Linked DNA regions of Struthio camelus. The main gene of each other region encodes a partner of the protein of the gene in region 2 in a complex. Links are inferred from orthologs where the notes say so. Each region holds a gene or a part of one and is shown on either strand. Other genes may lie near its edges. The genes, in order: FAM8A1, HERPUD1 and UBE2J1.

Region 1 (6,995 bases), on a different chromosome or scaffold from region 2:
TCCAGTAATGAAGAGTCACTTTAACCAAGGTCTGCGTTTAAACTTAATTCTGTACATGAACACACATACTTGCTACGAACGCCTAAATGGGATGAATGTATGTAGGCCACTAGTGGCTTTTGATTATGACTGGATGCAACAGCAATTGACCACTGTGGAATGACAACAAGTAGCCGATGATTAATGTCCAACAACTCTTATCCAAGGATTCTTTAAGAGGGGCCCCTATTTTTAGGGCACTTTAGTGTGAGGCAGGAGACGTGGTTTGAATGCCCCAAGCAAAGGAAGGCATTAAACTGGGATCTCATACATCCAGATGAATGTTTCAGCAGTTCCTTTAAAAACTGGTTAAGAACTTGCCTTGAAAACAAGATGCTGGGATGTGGATCAAAAATGAACCTCTGTAGCTCTGAACAGCAGCCAGAGTTAAGGCAGAACAGTGCTTTATTATTTTCTACTGACTGTGAAAGGCTCCCTGCTTAATAGTGATAATTATGTTTTTCAGCACTTACCTATATATAAAGAGCTTAAGATGGGATTTTAAGTTCCCTCTAAACCTTAACTATTGCAATATCAGCTTTTAGGTGCTTAACTCCCTTTCCTGGATCTAGTTCAGAAGGTTTCTCCTCGCCCAAATCTCACTTTTGGAAGAAGAGACTAATTAGCTGTCAAAGGCATTCAACTACTTATTTTCGTCAACCGACAGAATGAACTACTTCAGACTATCTCCCTTTCTGACTGCTCACAAGAGAAAACAAGCTCAAGCAGGGAGAAATCAGTGATGCAGAAGATTATTATAACTACTCCCATAATGTGTGGTAACCTAGAACAGCAATGAAACAAGTCCCTTTGCTATCAAAAAGGCTAATAAAGTGTGAGTTCCAACACCACTGGCAAGCCCTGTTGTTATAGTATGTATCTCTTTATCACATACACCATAGAATAATCTGAATGTTTGCGTTATACCGAATTTGCATTGTTTTTTGTAACAGTATTGTATTCAAGGCAGAAGAATGAAAAACTAATGACTGAAAAACTTGTCTGAAGAAAGACAATGTTACATTGTCTGCCTCCTCTACCATTACTCCCCTTCTCCCTGCTGTCAGTGATGCAATTTCACCTTGAGTACCCAGCATAACTACGCAGTGAGCTCCAATTGGTTATGCCTCTGTAATGCTGCTGACAATCCTAAAAGTTACAGGTGACTGGCAGCATTTTATGAAGCCTGTGAGATTTTGTAATTGCACCTAAATATCTGATCTGGCTTGCAGAAACTCTGATTATGCCAACACAAAAAAGGTCTGACTGACAGTGGCTGGTTCTGAAGGGTTTGCAGTGAACAACCACTTAAAAAAAAAAAAGTGAAATAGACTGTAGCTGATAAAGAAATCAGTGAAATATTATGAAGGAGGACCTCTGCTAAGCTTCTTTTACTGTAATTCTCCAAACTAGCTTTCCTAATACAAGTTAATAGCTATTCAAAGATTATCTATTTCAGGCTATCTTAAACATAATCTTGGGACTGTGGGAGGGTTTTTTTTTATATCTTCATAAATTCAGACTCCTCCTTGCCTTTGTTTTTTTCTCAAAGGGTCACCTCTAAGGTACCACATTAAATGATTTTCTTCTGTAGACTTGCATATCTTCCTTCCCTCTTTTCCTGCCTTTCTTTCATTCTTCAATGTCCTTCCTAATCATGCCGAAACTTGTCATGTTTCCCAAATCAATTATCCATATTGATTTTAACCAAGTGTATGTTACAAAACAGATGACAGTATAATTAGAACCATGACTGCCAGCACATAACCGCATTTCTTTTAATTAAGGTGATATGGGTTATTAGCTAAGCACAATTTCAGTTCACTTCAGCTTGTCTATACTAGGGACTCGCAACACAGAAATTACTTCTATTTTTAAATAAATTAGGATTATATGGGAGAAAAGTTTATTTGTTTTTGCCTAACAGAGAGAGAGAAACACTTATTTTCATTTTTGTTTCCAGTTCTGCTATTTGCTGTGTTAAAAATGGGAAACATTCCCTGTTTAACAGTATTTATTACTAGTTCATCCAGCATGGTGCTATGTTAACATTTATGTTATGCAGAAGTTCAGGTCTGGTTGTGATGCTTACTAGCATACAGGAACCTTAAATATTAGAAACTATTTTGGAGAATTGTGTTTAAACTTCCTGTAGGGCTCCTAGTTCTTCAGTATTTTTGGAATGGGAAGGAGATGAATGAAATACGGGAAGAGATGAGAAAAGGGAGATGGAAAAGAAACCAGCATTTAGACAACACATCAAATAAACCGTAGAAATACAGAAGAGAAATAGCAAAGTTTAAGTTAACACCTTTTCTTCCTTTTATTTCTCCAAAAAAATTCAACACACTTCCTATTAGCAAAGGTAACTGCAAGGCTACTTTATTTTAGGGAAAGAGAAAGTGTTTTTAGATTTGCTAGAGGTCAGAAACAACAGCTGTAATCACAGGTGGCTATGACAAGATCAAAAGAGAGAACAAATTTGTCCGGCTGCACCTGCTTGGAAGCAAGGCAATGCCTTATTCCTTACTTGGGTCTATGACTTCATCTACCACAGTCTATTAAAATTAATATATCTGTTATCTGGGGCAAAATCAGAAGTCAACTGAAGGGAGACAGAGGGAATCTGAATTATGGCAGTTTACATGCTGGCCCTTCACCCTGTCTTGCCAAGCAAAGCTAATCCCTGTCCTGACTTCAGAGGGGAAGGCCGTGGAAACGAAGCCGCACACAGAAGATCCTGACTCCCTTCTCACACTCCAGCACAAGGCACTAGTGCAAGTAACCTCACTGCCCGCAGACAGCTTTCAGATTTCAGCCTGTGAAACGGGGACTTCCCGCCTGACCAGACCTGAACGGCTCAGCCTTGGACGGCGGAGGGGGCCGACGGGCTGGCGGCGCCCTCAGCGGGGGCGCGGGCCGAGCTCCCTGCTGCGCCGGCGAGCGCGGCTCCCCGCGCTGCCCCCGGGCGGCGCGACAAGCCGCTGCGGCCGCCTAAGGCGTTGGGGGGGGGGGGGGAAAGAGGGGGAGGAGGCCTCGGTATTTATATTGAGGAAGAATTAAACGTCTCCTATACGTGTGTTTTTGCTGGGAGACCTTTCGAAAGCGCAGGTTCTACTACGCTTGGGACTGGAGTAGCATGGCATTACTTCTCCTCCGCGCTTTGGGTCTTGTTTTTAGGTTTGCAACCCCGGCAGCCGCTTCCGTCGTCCCGTCCGCGGCGAGGGGGAAGCGACCCCTCGCACAGGGCAACTCACGACTCTTGCTAGCACGGGACGAGCGAGCAACGGGAAAGGCGCTTCCAGGGTACACGCTCAAACTGCCGTCAGCAGCAGCCAAGAAACCCGAGGCAGCGCCGCAGGGCAAGGAGAGCTCAGGGCAGGGAAGGTCTCCCTCCTCTCCTCCCCGCCCCGCGCAGGAAGGCGTGAGGGGAACATCTCCCTCAGCCCTCTCCTTAAGGCAAGGGCAAGGGGCGCGGCAGCGACCGCAGGGGGTGGCGCCTGCCCTGACGCAGCTGAACCTGTCTCGTAGGCAGGGCCAGCCCCCGCGGTGCGGCGCGGCTTGGGGAAAAAAGAGGCTCTACGTGTGCGTGGTGCGCGGCGCGGCCGTTAAGCCGCCGGGTCTCGCGTAAGGCAGCCCCGGCCCGAAGGGCTCGGCGACGCCAACCGCTGTAAAGGCCCTGGGCCCAGCGCGAGACCCCGCCCCCTTCCCTTCCTTTGCTCCCCTCCCCCTCGCCCTCTGCCTCAGCACTAGGCGAGACCATCTCACGGCGGGGGGAGGGGGAGGAGAGAGAAGCCTTCCTGCCTCCTAGCGAAGCTTGTTCTTTCCTCGCACAGAAGCAGAAAGGGGACCACTGGAGGGTGGTACGCTCCTCGCCGCGGAGGGCCCCTGAGGGGCTCTTTCTAGGTTGTGCCCGCTTCTCCCCTCTCCCCCTCTCCGCCTCGGCGAATGGGAGAGGCGAGGCGTCGCCCTCGCGCATGCGCCGTGAGCGCAGACGCTCAGTGTCAGAGGGGATGGAGGAGATGGCGGAGCCCGGCGCGGAGCCCGGCGCGGGTCGGCCCGGAGCTGGGGCGGCGGCAGCAGCAGTAGCAGCGACGGCGGGGGGAAGCAGCGAGAGGAGCGACAGCGGCGCGAGAGGGGAGGCCGCGGCTGCGTCGTCACTCTCGTGCTCCTCCTCCGCAGCCGTTGGGGGCGACGGCGGGGAGGCGAAGGCACTGAGCGCGGCGGAGTACGCGCGGCGCGTGCACCAGTGGCTCTGGGACTCCTACTGCGGCTACCTCAGCTGGCAGAGCTGTCTCCCCGCCCTGCTGGCCGCCGCCGGCCCCTCGTACGCCGCGGGCCCCGGCCGCGCGTCCTCGCCGCCGCCGCCTCCTTCCTCCTCCTCCTTCTCTCCTCCTCCTCCTCCGCCGGGGGCAGCCGCCGCTTACTACAGCCCCTTCTACGTCTTCGCTCCGGCGCCAGCCCCCACAGCCACCGCCGGGCCGGGGCCCCGCGCCGCCGCGGCCCCCTCTTGGCAGGGAGCGGCGGGCAGGTTGGCCCCCCTGCCCAGGGCTGCCTCCAGCGGCGCCGTCGGCGCCGGCACCAGCGGCGCCCCCCGCGAGGCGGCGCGGCCGGCAGGTGAGAGGGGCCGCGGGGGTGGAGGGGGGGGGGATCGGGCCTCGCACCTCGCTCTCCGCGCCCTGGGGGGAGGCGGCCGCGTCCCTGCTCAGCCGCCTCCGGTCGCGCACCGGGGTCGGCGACGCCATCCCCGGCGGTAGTGCTGGCTCACGGCTCGCAGCACCTTCTCCCTTCTTCGCTGTTTTGGGCTCCTCCGGCGCAACTCTTGGAGGCGGCATGTCGAGGAGGAAGCGAGGGGTTTTGCAAGGTTGGGGTGCGCTTCTGTGGGCGGCGGACCTGTCATGCGAAAGGTGACAGCTGAAATACTGAGTTTGTAAATCCACAGTTTATTCAGTGAGTAGATTTGAGAGGGTTGACTTGCATTTGCCGCTTATTACTTTGATATTTGTGAAGTGTTTTAATGGATAGGAAGGAATTTTTTTTTTTTTTTTGCAGTAAAACTCATTCTGGTATTGACAGGACCATAGCTGTTCATGAAGTGTCTAGCTTTTTAAATAGTCTGTTTGGATGAAGAAAGCTAAACTAATTTTCTCTGTTTGTTTTAGTGGACTCTTGGTGCTCAAAATCATTTAAATGAAACTGAAGTAGAGAGATTAAAATATGCTTACATGCTAGTGACAGGACCTGAAATAAACAAAAATCTGTTATGACTTAGACAGCTTTAGCAGTGGAATAACCTTGCTTCTGTTTACATTTGTTCGAAAGTAAAACAAACTTTTACTGTGATCTCATCAGAAGGAAAAACTGGAACACAAACATTTCTTGACAAACTCTAAGAGTGCCTAGATGACATTCCGTGAATGTTTGGTAATACCTTGAGTAATGGCAGAACACTGCTAAAGGACTTTGGAAAAAAGCCAGATCTCCTTTCTTTCTCTAGGGCAAACTACAGCATTACTGATCTGTAACATTATTTCTAAGCTCAGTGACTGAATGTGAGGGGAGAAATTTTCTGTTTCTCCTTCATTTTAAAAGGAAGGGAATCTAGCTCCCAAACTTGCTGCTTTGTTGTGGGTTTAGGCAGATGTTGTTTCAGCATGGTTGTAACACAAAGTAGTATTTTTTTTAAATTATGCCCTGATTTATATATTGCTTATGAACAGCTATTACTAGTCACTGGAAAAGATGATGTGGACAAAATCTAGACTGAAATAACTCTTGGATTTTTACCTAATTCTTCAGGAACTAATATCACATGCTAAAGGTAACATAGGGTATGAATAACACTCCGTTCTGCTGAATGTGGCTATTCTCAGTGCTAAATATTGTTGCAACACCCAGACTTCCAAAGGGAATTCTTTGCATGATATAGTGATATGATAGAATTATAAACAAGCACTGTTGTGCCAGTGCTTTGGCTCCCAATTGCATATGGATTTATCTGGAGCAGCTAAAGCGATTACAGCTCCTTCCCTTCTGCTGCAGGTGATTGCTCACTCAGCAGAGTTGGTAGGACAGGACTTATATCCATCCCTAAGCCACTGTGGTTTACAGTCCAGTGTGTGCACGTAAACCGAACTAAGTGACGGTTTATGTTAATATTGCAGATCTTAACTAGGATGCCCAAAAGGGGAATTAAACTGTTTCTTCCTCTTCAATCTGCCTGTGTGTCAGTTCAGTATCAGTAGCACTCCGGGCAGTACCAGGCCTTTGGTGGATTTAGTCATCATTTTTCAAGATGTTTCCTCCCCTCATCCCTCTTGATTTATCCTCCTTGCCTTAGTGTAGGAGATTACTGCTCTTATTCTGGGAACAGCGGAACAAAAAGTGTGTTCAAGCCTCAGCTGCCTTATTTTACTGTCTGGCTGGCTAAGTGCAAACCCATCTTTGTTACTAGGTTAATGTCAGACTTTGAGCTGAGATGGATGCATGTTTCATTCAGCTGTCCCTCCAGTACAAATAGTAACTCCTGACAAAACAGTGGATTTCTGATGCTGGGAGTATATTAAATGGCTGCAATAGAAATCTGCTAGAGTTGAGGGGTTATCAGAGTTTCTTAATGTAATGGAGTTTAACATAATTCGGATGCTGATTTTCATGGTCCCAGACACTTCTTCCTTATCCAGTTATTGTTTCAGTCTAATAGTTTCCACTGAAACTCTTAGCACATTCACTGAAGTTAGTGGCACATTTTGAAGAATTCATTTGCTTTGTGTTCTCCAGTGCTATACGCTCGAGCCTGTAGCTTGTTGGGGAAATTGGCTGCGTTCCCTCCTGTCTCAGTTAAAGAATCTTTAATTAGAATTTTGTTGACAACTTGTTGACAAACAGAATTGAATCCACTTAAGTATTAGTTACATAACAGTCATGCTATTTAGTAGTATTGACACAGAGTTGTT
Region 2 (7,858 bases):
ACAATAAAATCAATAGACACAAGCATCTGCCCCTTTCCCCTGATGTGGGGCTCGTGCCCGTAGTTACGGCGAGTCACCCGCACCCCCGGGGCTTGGCCGAGAGGCACGCAGCGGCGCTGCTGAGAGCGTTTCTCCCTTCTCGGCATTGGGTTACGCCAGGGACGTTTTCATACGCCTCAACCCTGTACTTGTTGAGGGGCCATGCTCTACTCCTGCCTCTCCTACCGATCTGCAGGGTGAGAAAGGGAGGGCCCTGAGAGTGCCTGCACCCTCCTTGTGTCGGGGCAGCTGGTGCCAGGTTCCCTCTCCATGAACCCAAACTCCACGATTACGCAGGTTTGGTAGTCGTTCCCTATTTGTGCTAGGGTGCCTTTTGGGGAGGAGGGCTATGCAATTGCACAAAGCTAAGCAAAACTGAGACTAAAGCAATTTAAGTAATAATATAACTAAACAAGCTCCAAAGCATGCGATAGACACAGAACCTGACCACCGGGGGCTGTTACAGCTAGGACGAGCTAGACAACAGGCATCTGATCCGAGAGCAAGCTGCAGGCACAGCAAAAGTTTCTTGAATGATTTTTGCAGATAAACCTAAAATCAAGCTAAAGTAAGTTCAAGACTGGCCAAGGCCTGACACGTCCTGAGGCCTGGTATGATTGTTCAGCATTGCTCTGCCTCTCCCACCGTCTGACTGCCAGGCTGCGTTGTTCATGCTGGAGCAGATTTCCTCGGGTGCTGCCAGTTACTTCGGTGGGTGATGCACTCAGGATACGTCTCGCGTAGAAGTCACTCTGTTTATGCCCAGAAATTCTCAAAGAGATATGCAGGTGACCCTTTCTCTCCAAATCCCATCCGCAGCCCAGGTGTGATGCCAGTCAGGATGCACAGCATGCTGCGAGCTCCCTGCCTGCTCGCAGCACGCCCTCTCCAGAGACAAAAACCCCAGCATAAAGTCTTCCCAAGACTAAAATCTTGTTCATGGGCTCGAAGAAAAACTGTACACAGCCACACCAATCGAAGGGACTATTACAACAGTATTATGAAACATTTTATTAAGCGAGATGGCTGACAAACACAGTGCTTCTTCCTGAATAAATACATTGAACTAAATCCTGAGAACCAGCCAGATGTGTTTGAATCGTGCGGTTTGAATCTCCTGATCTTCGACCTATCCAGGCTGCAGAGCAACCTTTGGACAGCTCCAAAACGCATCAGATTCCAGGATCACCAAACCAGGGGGCCCACATAAGCCAGATTGTATCTTTTGGCACGCTCTCTTGCACTGCGTCACTGCACCTGGGCAGAGAGGTGTTGCAGAGATCGCCTGCCAGGCAGAGAGGTGTTGCAGAGATCATATGCCAGTCTCTGAGGCTACAGGACATTTCTTTGCGTATAGTAAAATCCTCCACCGGCTGCTCCTGTTGTTCCAGGTCACTGGAGTGAGATTGTTATGTAGTGAAAATTAGCCTAACTCCAAAGGCTGCTATAAACTAATCGGTGATTCCCCCCCACCCAGGATCAACCCTGAGCTTTTTTTCATGCAGTAATTGTGTTGAGGTCAGTGAGATAATCCTGATTTACACGGGGGGTTAATGCTTACACAGGTACTGGTGGCAAAACAAGCTTGGAGCCCTTCATCTACGATTTTGGCAAATCAGAGTTAATTGTTCAATAGGGCAGTGCTGATCACATGCTAGTCACACCTTGTATTTGGAGCAGTGTCCGTGAATCTGTTGCTATGGAACAAAACCTAAGTTAAGCAGATAGTATCAGGGCAGATATTTGTTTTGCCTCTGTTTCAAGAGCTCTGAATCAGCCTCTGGGACTGGAGCACATGTTACCAAAGGTCCAGGTGTGTCCCCTAATTTTAGATCTGTCAGTTCACAGATGCTTCAGGTGAAGACAGTGAGGGCCTGAAGGCAGCGAGGGTCTGGCTTTCCAAGGGGCTCAAGCACTCCTTGCTAACTCGGAGGAGAGCTGTTGAGGTTTAGCAATTGGAACCACAGAAACATTCAGGTTGGAAGGCACTTTGGGAGGTCACTAGTCCACCTCCCTGCTCAAAGCAGAGTCATGAGGTTGCCTGGGGTTTGTCCATTGAGTCTCAAAAACTCGTAAGGGTGGTGATTCCACCTCTCCGGGCCCCTCTTCCAACTGGCCTTGTATGCTTTCAGTGAGGCCCCAAATAATTGCTGTTTCTCCTGGGGAACTGACAGTGTGGAAAGGATGGATGCCGTGCAGCTCACTCTGATGCTTGGGAGTGCAGTGAGTTTTGGAAAGACCGAGGATGAGCTGCCTCTGGCTCCCTGAGCATTGAGCAGGCTCCAGCTGCTTGTTGATGTGCTGCTCCGCTTCCTGTGTCGCAGCATCTCTGTCTTGTTTCTGTCCCCGGCATCTCTGCTGTGCCTGGGGTTTGGAGGCAGAGCGGACTTGCAGGTCAGTTGGGATTCAGCCACGCAGAGCTTGTTCGAGGAGCAGGGGGAGGCAAGAGACGGCATTTGGGGCCAACTGAAAAGGAATTGCCACAGAAAGAATGGCTTCCCGACACCACAAACAGATTAGATGGTATGTGCAGACCACACACGAGAGCACTTTGGAATAAGAAACATACACCTTGCCTGGTCCTCTGTATGAAACCCAACACTTCTGACCACAGCGCATGGCCCCTGTAGCCAGCCTCTGCTAGCCATTAGAGGCCAGACTTTTATCCCATAAATCTTTTATTGTGCCATGTGTGCTGATATGCAGCAATAAGGAGCAGCCACATTCAAACAGGCAGGGCTGGCATGCAGAGGGCGTATCTGAGGGGACCCCCTGCCCCCAGAGCTAGGGTCCCAGGAGGTCTATCCTCCCGCCCAGCTTGCCCAGCAGGTGCTCGCTAGTCCGTGGTTTCCAGCAACAGCTAGGGCAGGAGAAGGAGCTCTGCCCCTCTTGTTCATTAACGGGGACATGTGGGAGCTGAACCCTGAGGCAGGAACGGCACTGTGACTACAGCTGCTCACGCGATCCCTGGGCTAGCGGCCGGCTGAAAGCCAGGCATAGGGAGTCCCAGCAGAACGCGCAAGCAAAACCCGAGATCCTAATGGGATACTAATCTCTCCACAGCCTTGTCTCTGCCACCCACGGGAGCCCTCTGGGCACTCTGAACAAAGGCTGCAACCAAGCAAGCAGCAAACAAAGGCACCCTGTCCTTAAAGGGGGACATTTGCAAGGGTGCCCTCTGACATTTCCTTTGGCTTTCCCTCTTCCACTGCCAACAGGAGCTGGGGGACGCAGATCATGGTCCCTGCTAGCACAGCAAGAGCGGCAGATAGCTCTGACAGTCTCAGGCATCTTTCCTTGTCTTTGGGATTACAGAAGTGACTTACTGGTTAGGACTGGGGAATGAAACCCCTCCTCTTTAGTGCTGAGTCCACTCATGGATAAGTGAGGAAGGAGCACAGCTCTTCTGCAGCTCTTAAGCTACTTCTGTTCCTGAAGTACTCTTTGTGGGGAGGGATGCAGTGCGGGAAAGCGCCTGCCTGCTTTCTTCACCCTTGCAAAGTGTGCTGTTGTACTCTGGCAGGTGAGAACAGTTCATCAGACCAGACATAAGCTCAGTTCATTTCATTTTGATTTTACTTGCTGCTTCCCAAGGCAGTAACGCCCTGTGGGCACAGATCTTTCTCAGGAAGCTGAGAAATGATGCACCCCAGGGGCTGAGTGTCTTTTCTGGTTGCAAAATCAGCTATTGGCTGCAAAATCATCTATCCGTGCCTTTGGGCAACAGGTATGGCTGCCAAAGAGTACTAAGCAGCTAATGAAACGAGCAGAGTAAATACGTGGTGCAGACAGATACAACTGACTTCCCACATTCTTACTTGATTTTTTAAAAGTACGCTAAAACCCTCTCCTGGTGCATTAGTGTCATTACCACTGGTTTTCCTGTTGCTGGATCACGTCTCAAAGGAAGACGAGTATCTGAAAGAGAATTCTGAAGCTGCAGTTCTACAAGATGAGACTATTTTTTTGTCAGTGATAGCTTAATGAATTATCACGCTTCACCAACAGCCTGCACACCCCTGCATGCTTACTGGGGACCCAGGGACCCATGCAGAAGCTGTTGTGTCCTGCTTCCACACCCCCCCCCCCATTTCAGGAACAAAATTATTTAGGTAATAGTGTAGATCTGGTAAAATTATCATATCAAAAAAGGTGACGCTTCACCCGGATCGGCCTGTAGATCTGGCACACGGCAGGCCTCCCAGAGAGCTGCGTTGCTGTTGTACAGGAGGGGGAAAGAGAAGACTGAAGTCAGGGATCCGTCAGATTGGCCTCGCAGCCCAAGCCAACGTATTACGGAGCTGCGGTCTGGGCAGGTGACAAAGGACAGGGCAGAGGCAGCTCACGAGGGCTGCCCTCTCCTCTCTCGGCAGGTCGCCGGCCCGCGGCCTCCTCCCCCGGCCCCCGGCGAGGGGCAGAGGCGCGGGAGGCGCTCGGCAGCTGCCCAGGCGCGGCCCGACGGGGTCCCGCAGCGGCCGGTTAAACGCGCCAGGCCGACGCGGGGCAAGAGAGGGGGCGAGGGGACTCGCGTCCCCCTCAGGCCCGGCCCGGCCCGGCCCGGGGCGCCGCAGGGCTCCGCTGGCACCGCGCAACGGCCGCCAGGCCCCTCGGTGACCCGGCCCGGGCCGAGGCCCCGTCCCCATGGTAACCCCCGGCGACCCCCGCGCCCCGGCAGCGCCCCGGAGGCCCCCCGGGCGCCGCCCAATCACGCGCCCCGCCCGCTGCCCCCTGCCGCCGCCCGCCTGCCGCGCTCCGCCCGGCTCTCCTTCCCATTGGCCCACGTGGCAGCCTCGTCTCCCGCCGCAGCCAATCAACTCCAGCCAGCGCGGCCGGGCGGCGGAGCGGGCCGGGGCGTGACCGAGGCGCTATAAAGGCCCGGCGCCTCGGTGACGGGAGGCCGCTCGCCCGCCCGCCCGCCTGCCATGGAGGAGACCCTGGCGCTGCTGGTCAAGAGCCCCACGCAGCGACACCCCGACCTGCGGCTCCGCGCCGAGCCCGCCTGGACCGTGCGGCGCCTCAAGGCTGAGCTGCGCCGCCTCATACCCGATGCGCCGGTGAGCCGCCGCCGCCCCCCCCCCCCCCCCGCCCCGGTTTAACGGCCTCGGCGCCGTGCGCGAGCCGCTTCCCGCCGCCGCGGTGGGGCGGCTGCGAGCCCCGGCCCCCGGCGGCCGGAGCGGCCCGGCGAGCCTTCCGGGGCCGCCGCCGTTCGGCCGAGTGACGCACGCTCTTAGCGAGACTCTAAAACAGAAAATCAGAGGGGCGGGGAGCGCTTCCAGCGCCCGCTTCTGCAGGCGGTCCGGGGGAGGGGGTCCTGCACCGCCTCGCATCCGTTGCCTCTGGTTTGCTGATAAATATAGATGTGAAACTTGTTCGGGCTCTGCTGGGAGTTATTTTGGGAGTTGATTCGGTTTCTTGTTTAACCGCTGTTAAATATTAACTTTGCCTGAGAGGGTACTGAGTGTGCTTTAGAAGTGTTCACAGCGTATGGTTGGAAACTTTTCTGCTTTTGTTGGGAGAACTTGGTCTGAATGATGGGCGGGGTCAATAAATCTTACTGTTTAGGTGAAAACTGTGCATCTGCAAGGTTTCCTGTCAAACAGCATCTATGAAATTGCATGAAATATCTTGGGTGTAGCCAGTGGACTGAGACACCTTTTTGGTTTAATAGGCACAGCATTTAAAAGCTCTTACACTGTAAAGCAGAAGACCTTGAAGACAGCAGCTGAATATTTATAGCTCAGTAGCAGACTTTGCAGAGTTGTTTGAAACTTTAAATGCAGCAGTTGGAATTGCTTTAAGTCGCAAGATCTTGTGGATTGACCTCAGGAAAGTTCAGTAAGCATGTAGTGCTGTTCTTTGTTTCACCTGATGGGCAGTTGGCATAAGTTTCATGTACAAAATGTTCTCACTGGAGGATATGTGCTTTTGCCTCTCGATGACTAAGTTTAGTGGAAGCAAGCCACCTCACTCAGCTTCTGGATGCTGACACAGGTTCTAACTGTATTGCATCACTTGTGTGAACTTTTTTAGCAGCTGCTTGAGACATGACTTACTAGCATCTATGAAAGCTCTAATAAGCTGTGTGTGGACTTATGTGATTGCCCAGAAACAAGATTAGTGTGTTCTCACTAACTGTTATGCAGCAGTAGGAGGATTTTAGGTGAACAGCTGCTCAGATTCATCTCAGGGGGTATAACAGATTTATTTGGTAACACCTTCAGTGCTGCTCAGATTAGACAGTGCTGCAAACCTCTGCTTCTAGGAAGCTACATGTCAACTCTTTTACAGTCCTGACAAAAGACTGCAAGTCCTTTGCCAACAGAATGTTTTTTTATCCTCCTGCTGGTTTAGATCTCAGTGCTAGGCATTTTGCACTTCAGTAATCAACTGCTCTAATCGTATTAGCCAAATTCTTGGATGTGCACAATTCCTTCTGCAACTTAATGTGCAAGGTACTTACAATTGTATGATTCATGGTCAAATGGACAGATGCATATTAATCAGTTTTATGCGTAATGCAAATGTCTAATGTTTGCGTGCACTTGCCAGAATAGGTAACCACCATATTCTGTCTTCCCTCAAAGCCTGAAGAGGACCAAAGATTGATTTACTCTGGGAAGCTGCTGCTTGACCATCATTATCTGAGAGAGTTGCTGCTGAAGGTAAAAACAAACAAACAAAAAAAAAGGTTATGTAGTGCTTATATGTCAAGCAAGGTGCAACAATTACTTTTTAACGTGCCCTCGCTTATGTTTTAGCAGGAGGAATTGCATGCTCTTCATTTGGTATACAACCTCAAGACTCCTGTGATCGCACAAGAAACTGATGCAAAGGTAGTCATACTGACTTAACGTGCTACTCTGAATCTTGAGCTTCTGACTATCTGAAGAATGGAAAGTATGTAATGACTGTTTTAAAGCTCACTGATGCTGTAGACTTTTCTTGCAGTAGTACAGTAATAACAGTATTCCTTCTGGTGATAGTTCTACTAGTTAGGGGTGTGAAAATGTTTTTGAATAAGTTCTATACAAATTCATTTATGGCTCATAAGTAAAGATTCTAATGGAATCTGTTGAGAAACATCAAAACTTTCAACCTAGCTGTATTTTACAGCTAGGCAAAGTCTATATCTGGTAAATTCAGTTTTGTTAAATAGCATATGACCTGTCATATGCCCAGCTCTTTTGGATGGAAAAGCTGTGCTTGTGTGCAGAAGACATAGCTGTTTAGGACAGAAAAGGACTTCTGACCCCACATCAGTTTGAGGTAGAAAGACAACTATTAGTTGAAGGCATTTTAACTGCTCTCATTAATGACTTGGAAAGTCAGTAGAGAGGAAGCTAAAGATAAGCGTTAGTACTTGAACTGAGTACTTACTGGTGTAAAGTGCAATAGATACTAAATGGCCAAAGATGTATTTTACTTCCAAGAGTGGGTTAGCATATTTAAAGGTACACTTTGATTGTCCATTACAGGTGATTTGAATTTAGTCTATTTATGTTTGGAGTTTGCCAGATGTGAAACAGCTCTGGTCTGAATATAGTACAGGTACATTAGCACAGCAGCTCTTGACTTAGTGCCTCTATACAGCAGTGTATATATGCAAGTATAAACACTTCAGGGCTAACAAGCCAAACTGTTTTGAGTGCAGTTCCCTGTATTTTTTTCCAATTGCATTCTTATAACCAGACAGGACCTGATTATATATGTGACAGAATTATGAAATACATACCTAGAAATCCTGAAAATGAAAAGAGTAAAATCAAGTCATTTTTATATGCAAGTAGCTTTTAAGGAGCTTTAAAATGTTGATGGAGTT
Region 3 (7,769 bases), on a different chromosome or scaffold from region 2:
GATACTGCTTAATACTGCATTTTGTAAAAGGATTATAACTTGTATTTCATAGTACTTTTCTGCCTCAAATCCCTCTTTCTCTATTGTAGTTTAATTCACTAATGATCACGTGTCGTTCACGGGTTTTAAGCTGTCCAGGAAAACCACGTCTGTGATGGAGTAGGTGACACATAGTTAGACAGTGACGCTCTGCAGGTCACTGTGAACCTGTTAGTGTCTCTCTATGGTCAGTTTTAATAAATCATTTTCTACAGAGTACAGCACCTATGTATGATATTCTCCATATCAAAGAGTTGTAGGAAAAGTAATGCATAAATGTCCAGTCGGATAAGACTCTTTGCTCTAATTATTATTATTATTATTATTTTTTTGCTTGCTTCTTTGGCGACCTCATTGCTTAAAGTGATTTTTTTGATTTAAGATATCGAAGCTCATTGGGTGTTGTCATCTCAGGAGAAATCCCGTGTACTGTAAACAAAAATTTATTCCTGCCTCTTTCTTGGTGTGATTCAGTCCTTGTACAATTAAAAGATTGACTGACTTTACTGTTGGAGTTTTTTTTTTTTTTTCCTTCCCTGAAATGAATTTTACCTTGCCTATAATAGCCTGCATTTTCTTTTGAATGCAAATACAGAGTGTTTGAGTAAGTGAGTTCAAAGGTATGTGAGGTTGCTGTGGAAGTTGTTGCCGGTGATTCAGTAGGTGACACTGTTTACTTGGGGCTCTTAAGTCACTGGGTGATTACCCTGGCCAGGGGACAAGGCGCTGTTGGCTCAGCAGTCAGGTATTGATTTGGGGGAGGGAAAGGAGATCCGAATCTGTCACAGCTGATTTTGAAAGGACTTTCCCAAGATGTCACCCATGACATTGAGTATAGTCTAATTTAAGAGACCTGATTCTTATCTAAAATTTGTTGTGCAGTTTCAATGAAATCTGATGCTCTTTTTATTCTTCTAATTGTAGATAGTAGTATCATTGATAGGCAAGCACCCGTATTTTACTAATATGGTAAGTAGGCGAAGTAGTTAAAATTCTGTGGGATGAAAGGTGTCGTATAAATGCTACGTCAATCTAATTCAATTGGAAAACCTGGGCAGATTTGAAAAGTAAACTGCATCTCTAGCAATGCTGTCTTAGTCAACAGAGTCATGAGAAAAATAACTTTTTCTCTTTTTCTCTTAAGTAGATCTCTAAGTCTTGTTTGAAATGGAAACATTTTATTTATAAGTCAGGGAAAAAACGATGAGTATTTGCTGCAGCAGTAGAAGCTGTCAGATTGCTTTATTCCTTCTTTTCTAGATCAAATAAGTCAACTTGAAAGATTAAAAGATCTTTAGCTTTATACCAACTATTTTGGACTTCTTTATTTACTATTTTTTGTTAAGTTTTTTTTTTCCAAAGGGAAGAACTGAAATCTGATAGAATGAGACTGTTGCTCTCTATTGAGGAAGATACTGTCGCACAGAACCCTGATCACTTAAATATAAATTTATTTCTCTGATGGTCCTGTAATCACCTTTACACACACACAAGGACTTCTTTTTACATGCAGGGGTTGAGCCCTGCTGAACTGAGGCCTAACTATCCGTGTCCTTTAACTTCAGTTTGGCCAGAGTGCCTCCCCACTCAGCCTTACCTCTCCCCTCACCCACGTCTGTGCCTTTTGCTGAGTTCTTGTACCTGATTGCTGGTGTTTTTTGCAGATATTATAGCAGATCTTTAGGAAGCTTTAATGGTGTCTAGGTTTTTGCTTAAAAAAGGAAAACCACTTTGTTATACTACAGGAAATCCTGTTGCGCTGTTGTGTGTTACGTTTTCATTAACGTAACACAGTAACCCTGGTCGGCTCATCTGATTGCCATGTGTACAGCGTATAGATTTATAAAAATGAATTACAATCTCTCCTTGTTAACACTTTGGAGTACTGACAAAACAGACCTCTGCAAGGCTAAAAATAACTGTTTTAAGGCTATATTTTTATTTTCATGGTAACAGACTTTTAAAAGTATAATACTGTAGTAAGATGAACGCTCCTGATGTTCAAATCCTGCCATCCCTTTAAGCAGTAATATTTACATTTATAAAGATTGTGCGCTTCCCTTTTCTGTCTATAGAATGTTTGCCTTGGCTGTGGCGTGTAGGCTACGCTAAGTGGGCGCGATAGCAGAAATGCCTGAACACGACTTCAGGATGGGTCCAAGAGAAGGAGTTATATTGAATAGGAAATGCAGGATGGCTTAACCCGGGCATAATAGCAAGAAATTGGATTTAACCAGGAACCGTGGTGGTGGTGTTGGGAAAGAACATAAGTAACAAGCAAAAATTGTCTGCCTGGATACTTTTTTTGCAAAAACAAAGTAACTTAGCTTCAAATTTGAATTGTATTTTTTGTATTTCTTGTATTTTGACATCCACATTTTACTTTTCAGAAAAATCCTGTGAGTTCTGTGTAGAAGAACAGACAGTTTGTCAAGCAGAGCTGTTGATCCACAGAGCTTTTACTTTCCTTTGTTCCCCAGATCAGCTCAGAGCTCTTCCTCCTCCTTGTCCTCTCCTGCCAGAGAGTGAGATTCTTCTTTGCTCTGTAGAGTAATCTCAGAAAACTGGATTTCCTCAATATTTAATTCCAAGGAACATTATTTTAAATTGTTACAGCTTGTTTCTGTGAAACTACAGTTATTTTTCATGTTGATAGACATACCTTAGCAAAAAAAATCCTTGATTTATTTTGGCTTTAATACTCATCTTGGGCAATTCTAACATCTTGATTTGAAATTTCTTTTGGTTGAGTTAGTGATGCTTTTTGACTTCACTGACAGTTTGAAATTCTTTGTTTTGAGTAGGTACAAAATGTTCTAGTTTTTCAGACATTGCCAAACAACTTCAGATGACTCATGTGATTTTTAAGTAGGTTGAAGTACCACATTTTGCATCGAAACTCTCCTTTTAATGAAGCTGATAAGTGTCATGTGCTAGTGCAGCCAGACTTTGTAAATTATTTGTACTTCTTCCATTGCAGTTTCCACTAGCAAAAGGAGGGACTGTGTTTAGGAATACGGTGCTATATTTGAAGAAGCAGTTTAACACCTTTCTCACTTGCTTATGTTTTCTTATAAACTTTTATTGGACAAGACTATTCCTTGCAACTTGCTAGCTGGCATTTTTAAACAACATGCAAATACACATGCTTCTTTTTCTTAAGACATACTAGGCTTTTTAATATTGAAAACTTTGGACAGACAAATGATCTGTGTGGTATACAAGAGCTAAATTATGTATTTTGGTATATTTATTGCACGCTCTAAGAGCGGAATATTTCATGTTCTTCCAGCATATTTTATGCTGACTTCTTAGCATGAAATACCTGTAGTCTGGCTTCTTGACAGTAAGGTAGTGTTTTAAGAAAATATATACAGTATTGCTATCAATGTTAATTAAGTACAAAAGCATCTAAAACAGAATGCTTTACACTACTTAAGAGGAGCCCTCCTGCCTGAGCTCCTCGCCTGTCTGCTGTCTTGGTTCCCTCTTAGTGCAAATTCTTATTTTTTCTAATTCTGACTCTTGCTGCTGACTTTCAGCCCTGTATCTAAGTAGCCAAAAGGCTGTCCCTTTTGGAATAAGTCAGAAGGGCTGGGTGCAAGCCTTTCCCGGAGTGTCAGTAGTCTTCTGGAGAACAGTCTTGAAAACTATTTTTGCTGTAATAGTTAGCTTTTCGTCAGTTACCGAGGGTAACCGCATACAATGTTACTAAAGGAGAACTGTATTTGTTTTCTAGGTTGGTCCCTGGTCCAGGAAAGCTTAGTAACAGAGTTGTCTGCATTGTAATCCAGAACTGTTCTGTCTTGTCTTTGTTAGGTTTCTTTATATGTGTTTTCAGTCTTTTCATGGTTAGCCTTTTGTTCTTGATGGAGCGCCCAGGTCTGAGTTAGCTTGTGGTGTTTGTTTTTTTTTTCTCTTTTTTTCTTTTTTTTTGAAAGGATAGTATCCAGAGCTGTGAAGCAGCTCCAGGTCTGAAGCTGTTTCTGGTTCAGGCTGGTTTTCTTACTATTCCTTGCTAATGAACGGGTAAACCTTAATGCAGATGAGAGATGAAACATTTTTCAGTGGATCCTGGATGTTACTATCTGCTAGGTGATCTCATGTGTTCTACAGTGTATTTTATTGACACCTTGCTCTGGCAGTACAAGAATTAAGCAAATTTAGCTGAAAATTAAGCAGTAGCAAATTTGGGTGTAGTCTGCTTGCTTTTCAGTTTGTAAGAGGTGAAATTCTTGAACTTTTGCTGTTGGTTAGAGCTTTCAAGAACTGCAAAGGAAGAAGAAGCCAGGAGAACTTCTCACAGTAGATAGAAATTTAAATTATTCTGATGGAATTTAGAATAGCCTCCCTCACAGCGTTTCGAAAGTGCGTAAGTGATGGTTGGATGGTGATGCCAGACTTTGTAAATCGAGGAATTATGTTTCACTTTCAGGATTACCATTAAGCTATTGTGAAAGGGAATTTGGATGGTGTTTCTCCTTCTTCACAGTTAGGCAATTATGTGAGTGGGACTTTCACAAGTATTTTATTTCACTTTTCCCAGCAAGCAGGCGAGAGTAAAGACTTTCTACCTAACTTCATTCTTGAGGTGGCATCCTTGGATTTCTTGTCTGTGATTCTTAGGTTTAATCCTCTTTTCAGTGTAGCTGACTTTTTATTAGGAGTTAGTGCACGATGTGCACGGAGCAAAGTGATGGGACAAGTGATGGAACAAAATTTCCTGAAGGGGAAGGAGAAAGGAGATGCAGAAAATACGGAGAATACTGCATGTTCTGAAATGGAAGACAACTGCAGAGGTAACTACAGCCCATCCTGAATTTTAAGGAGGATGAACACCTGTGTGTCCACATTCACTAGCTCGTTTGAAATGCAAAGGCCTAGGTAAATTCTTCTGACTGGGCATATGTGTTTTCAAATAGTCTAGTATAAAGCATACGGCATCTCCCTGCACTTCCCAATATACCAGTTTTTCTCAAGTCTTATTTTAACCCCTTTGGATAAGTAAGGGAGTAGTCATGTAACACTGCCATGAGGTGTCAGGGTAAAGCTTTTCAGCAGTTGTTCAGAGATACTCAGGATGATCAAATGTTAGGGTGGGTAGGTCTTGTACATCTTGTATTAAAACACTGAAACTCTGTTAATGACATTTATGGTTTTCCTCATATCATTGGTGCCATTAATAATCTAACATCATTTTAATCTCAGTGTTGAGGCATTCTTTTGAGAAAGTCTAACCATGGAACATATTTTCCATAACTTTGTGTTTGTATGGCTCATTTAAATCATTATTCGGCGTGAGTAATTTATCTTGTTTTGGATTATTAACTCATGTGAAGAAGGTGTGATGTGCTGAAAAAGATGAGTTAGCGGAAAGGAGCCCTTCAAGAAATGCTTGTTATTTTTTATGCAGTATGTATAAGTAATTTCTTTCTTTATTTTCCTGTCCCCATTTTTCTGTTTTTCCAGCTGTCAAACGTTTAATGAAAGAAGCTGCAGAATTGAAGGATCCTACAGATCATTACCATGCACAACCTTTGGAGGTTTGTTTCTCCGTATGTTTGCAGGAGCTTGTCATTAGCCTGTGTAATATATATACTCTAAGTTCTCTGTGTGCATATATATTAAAAACTTGTTTGTATTTTTAGATATTAATACACCTTCTTAAAATTAATTCCATTCTTTTGGCATTTTTTCCTAAGATGGAAATCAGTGGTAGAATTCCACATCTAATGGTATTATGGAACCAGGTTCTTAATGAGAGTACGTGATAGTAATGGTTTTACATTGCACCTGAGCAGTTGCATCACATGGGTGTAATGTGTTTATTCTCACCCTCCTGAGGCTCTGAGTCTACATAAATATATTATGTTTTAGTTTTGGGCGTGTAAAGCTCAACTTGATATCTGGTTCAGTTACTGAGTTGCTCAACAAAACACTTGAAACTAGATGAGCTACATGGACTTCCTATTTTGAGTGCAAAAAACTGCATGAAAGACCTTTAAATGAGTACAGGTCTGCCATGGATGCACTGACTTGTAAGAAAGAACACTTGGTTTCCGCCACAGATAGGTACTACTTTGAGGTCCTCTAAACAGTTAGTTAAGTTTCTGAGCTGAGAGAGCAGTGAAATTCTGGTGGCTAGAAGTCTAAAAGGAAACCTATTCTGATTCTGCTAGAATATTAAAAAGGTAATGTCTTGTGATGGTCAATTTTGGGATTTGATTTGACTGTTCGCAGAAATGCGTAGCACACAGCATACTTAGAGCACGGTGCATGTTTCTCGGTACTGTAAAATATACTTTATTATTGACCAGTTTTTGTCTGTATCTTGTTTTCTTCCCGCCCTCTTCTTCCTGAGGTGAAATGCAAGGTTTAATTCATACTGTCAGTCAATAGTAACTTGCATGAAGGTCTTTTTTCAGGGTAAAAACAGTGACTCACTGGGAAGAGAGCAGTGAGAGACAGATAAAAAGACAGGCTGGAAATATTGACGGTTCCCTCTGTCCTTGAAAAAATTTTTAACTAGATGGGCTGTCACAGCCCTGCGATGCTAACATTCAGCATGAGTCATGAGATCTCATTCACTGACAGCAGGCCTCATTGGACTCCTATGATAACAGTAGGAGGTTTTTTTTGTGAGTTGTGGGTGTCAGGAGGTCTGATATGGAAAGCCAAATGCAGAATCCTAAAGAAATAATACTTAAGGAGAAGTTAATTACGTGTCCAATGAAAATGTTCCAAATTTCAAATCATGCCTACTATGCAGTAAGGCAAGATAGCTTTTTCAGAATTCTTCATGGAGAAACAAAAGAGAATGGGAATTCTATAGGGCCAGAGTCAAAGCCCTGTGTTGTGTTGGGCATAGGAGGGGCTTTCAGAGGGGAGACTGTCTTTACATGTTCTCATTTTGGGTGGTTCTGTTCCCAATTCTGTAGAAATTCTTATTCACTGGGGCAAAGACCCAGCTTTCCCTTGTTTGATCCTGAGTTTTCCATCTTTCAGGTAATAAAACTTTTGTCATAATTGGTACAACTCCTGTGAAAAGCTTGCATGATAAACTTGAATTTTCCAACAAAGCCATTTTGTAAGAAAATTACCTGAAGTTACGATATTTCATCCTTTTAATCAGAACCTTAGTACAGTGTTGACTGTCCTGTTCTCCGTTTGATTTTTTTTTTTTTTTTTTTTCTATTTGGCGTTTCTTTAGGCTGTCCTTGTTCCAAGAAAGTGGTAATTAGGTGTCTGCTTCTTTGACGCACTCTTCTTTTTTCATGGGGGCATTTTAGGATAATCTTTTTGAATGGCACTTTACCGTTAGAGGCCCTCCAGATTCAGATTTCGATGGAGGAATTTATCACGGGCGAATAGTACTACCACCTGAATATCCCATGAAACCACCAAGCATTATTTTGCTGACGGTAAGCATATTTACCAGTTATTCTTTTTTGCATGAACAGTTTAACCTTAGATATCTGAGAGGGAGATTCCTGGCATATAAGATATCATTCTTTTTGTAATAAAGGTGGCATAGTACAGTTAATACTGCTAATTTAATGAGAAGTCTTCCAAGGTAACTTTGGTATTTTGTAGTTATATAAAGTTTTGCCCCTATAGATGGAAATTTTCCCCAGGAGTAAGCGCATTGCTAATGTGAATGCGATGGTCTAATGTTTTTCTTCCCTCCGTGGACCTCTTCAGTCTCTGTATTGGCACATGTAACAAGGCAG

What was found.
Region 1: HERPUD1 (region 2) and FAM8A1 share a complex: the UniProt entries of both Homo sapiens proteins name them as parts of the HRD1 complex. The link is inferred for Struthio camelus from reciprocal best matches to the Homo sapiens genes HERPUD1 and FAM8A1.
Region 3: HERPUD1 (region 2) and UBE2J1 share a complex: the UniProt entries of both Homo sapiens proteins name them as parts of the HRD1 complex. The link is inferred for Struthio camelus from reciprocal best matches to the Homo sapiens genes HERPUD1 and UBE2J1.

Annotation. Positions count from the first base shown.
Region 1 is NC_090943.1:99,895,257-99,902,251, forward strand, and holds the start of FAM8A1 (protein FAM8A1), read left to right. Parts: upstream 1-3,902; 5' UTR 3,903-4,016; coding exon 4,017-4,656; intron 4,657-6,880; exon of another isoform or gene 6,881-6,995. UniProt on the Homo sapiens protein: Plays a role in the assembly of the HRD1 complex, a complex involved in the ubiquitin-proteasome-dependent process of ER-associated degradation (ERAD).
Region 2 is NC_090951.1:29,902,445-29,910,302, reverse strand, and holds the start of HERPUD1 (homocysteine-responsive endoplasmic reticulum-resident ubiquitin-like domain member 1 protein), read left to right. Parts: upstream 1-4,838; 5' UTR 4,839-4,961; coding exon 4,962-5,093; intron 5,094-6,623; coding exon 6,624-6,701; intron 6,702-6,797; coding exon 6,798-6,872; intron 6,873-7,858. UniProt on the Homo sapiens protein: Component of the endoplasmic reticulum quality control (ERQC) system also called ER-associated degradation (ERAD) involved in ubiquitin-dependent degradation of misfolded endoplasmic reticulum proteins.
Region 3 is NC_090944.1:50,094,762-50,102,530, reverse strand, and holds the start of UBE2J1 (ubiquitin-conjugating enzyme E2 J1), read left to right. Parts: upstream 1-4,708; 5' UTR 4,709-4,735; coding exon 4,736-4,838; intron 4,839-5,508; coding exon 5,509-5,582; intron 5,583-7,328; coding exon 7,329-7,460; intron 7,461-7,769. UniProt on the Homo sapiens protein: Catalyzes the covalent attachment of ubiquitin to other proteins. Functions in the selective degradation of misfolded membrane proteins from the endoplasmic reticulum (ERAD) and is essential for cells to recover from ER stress.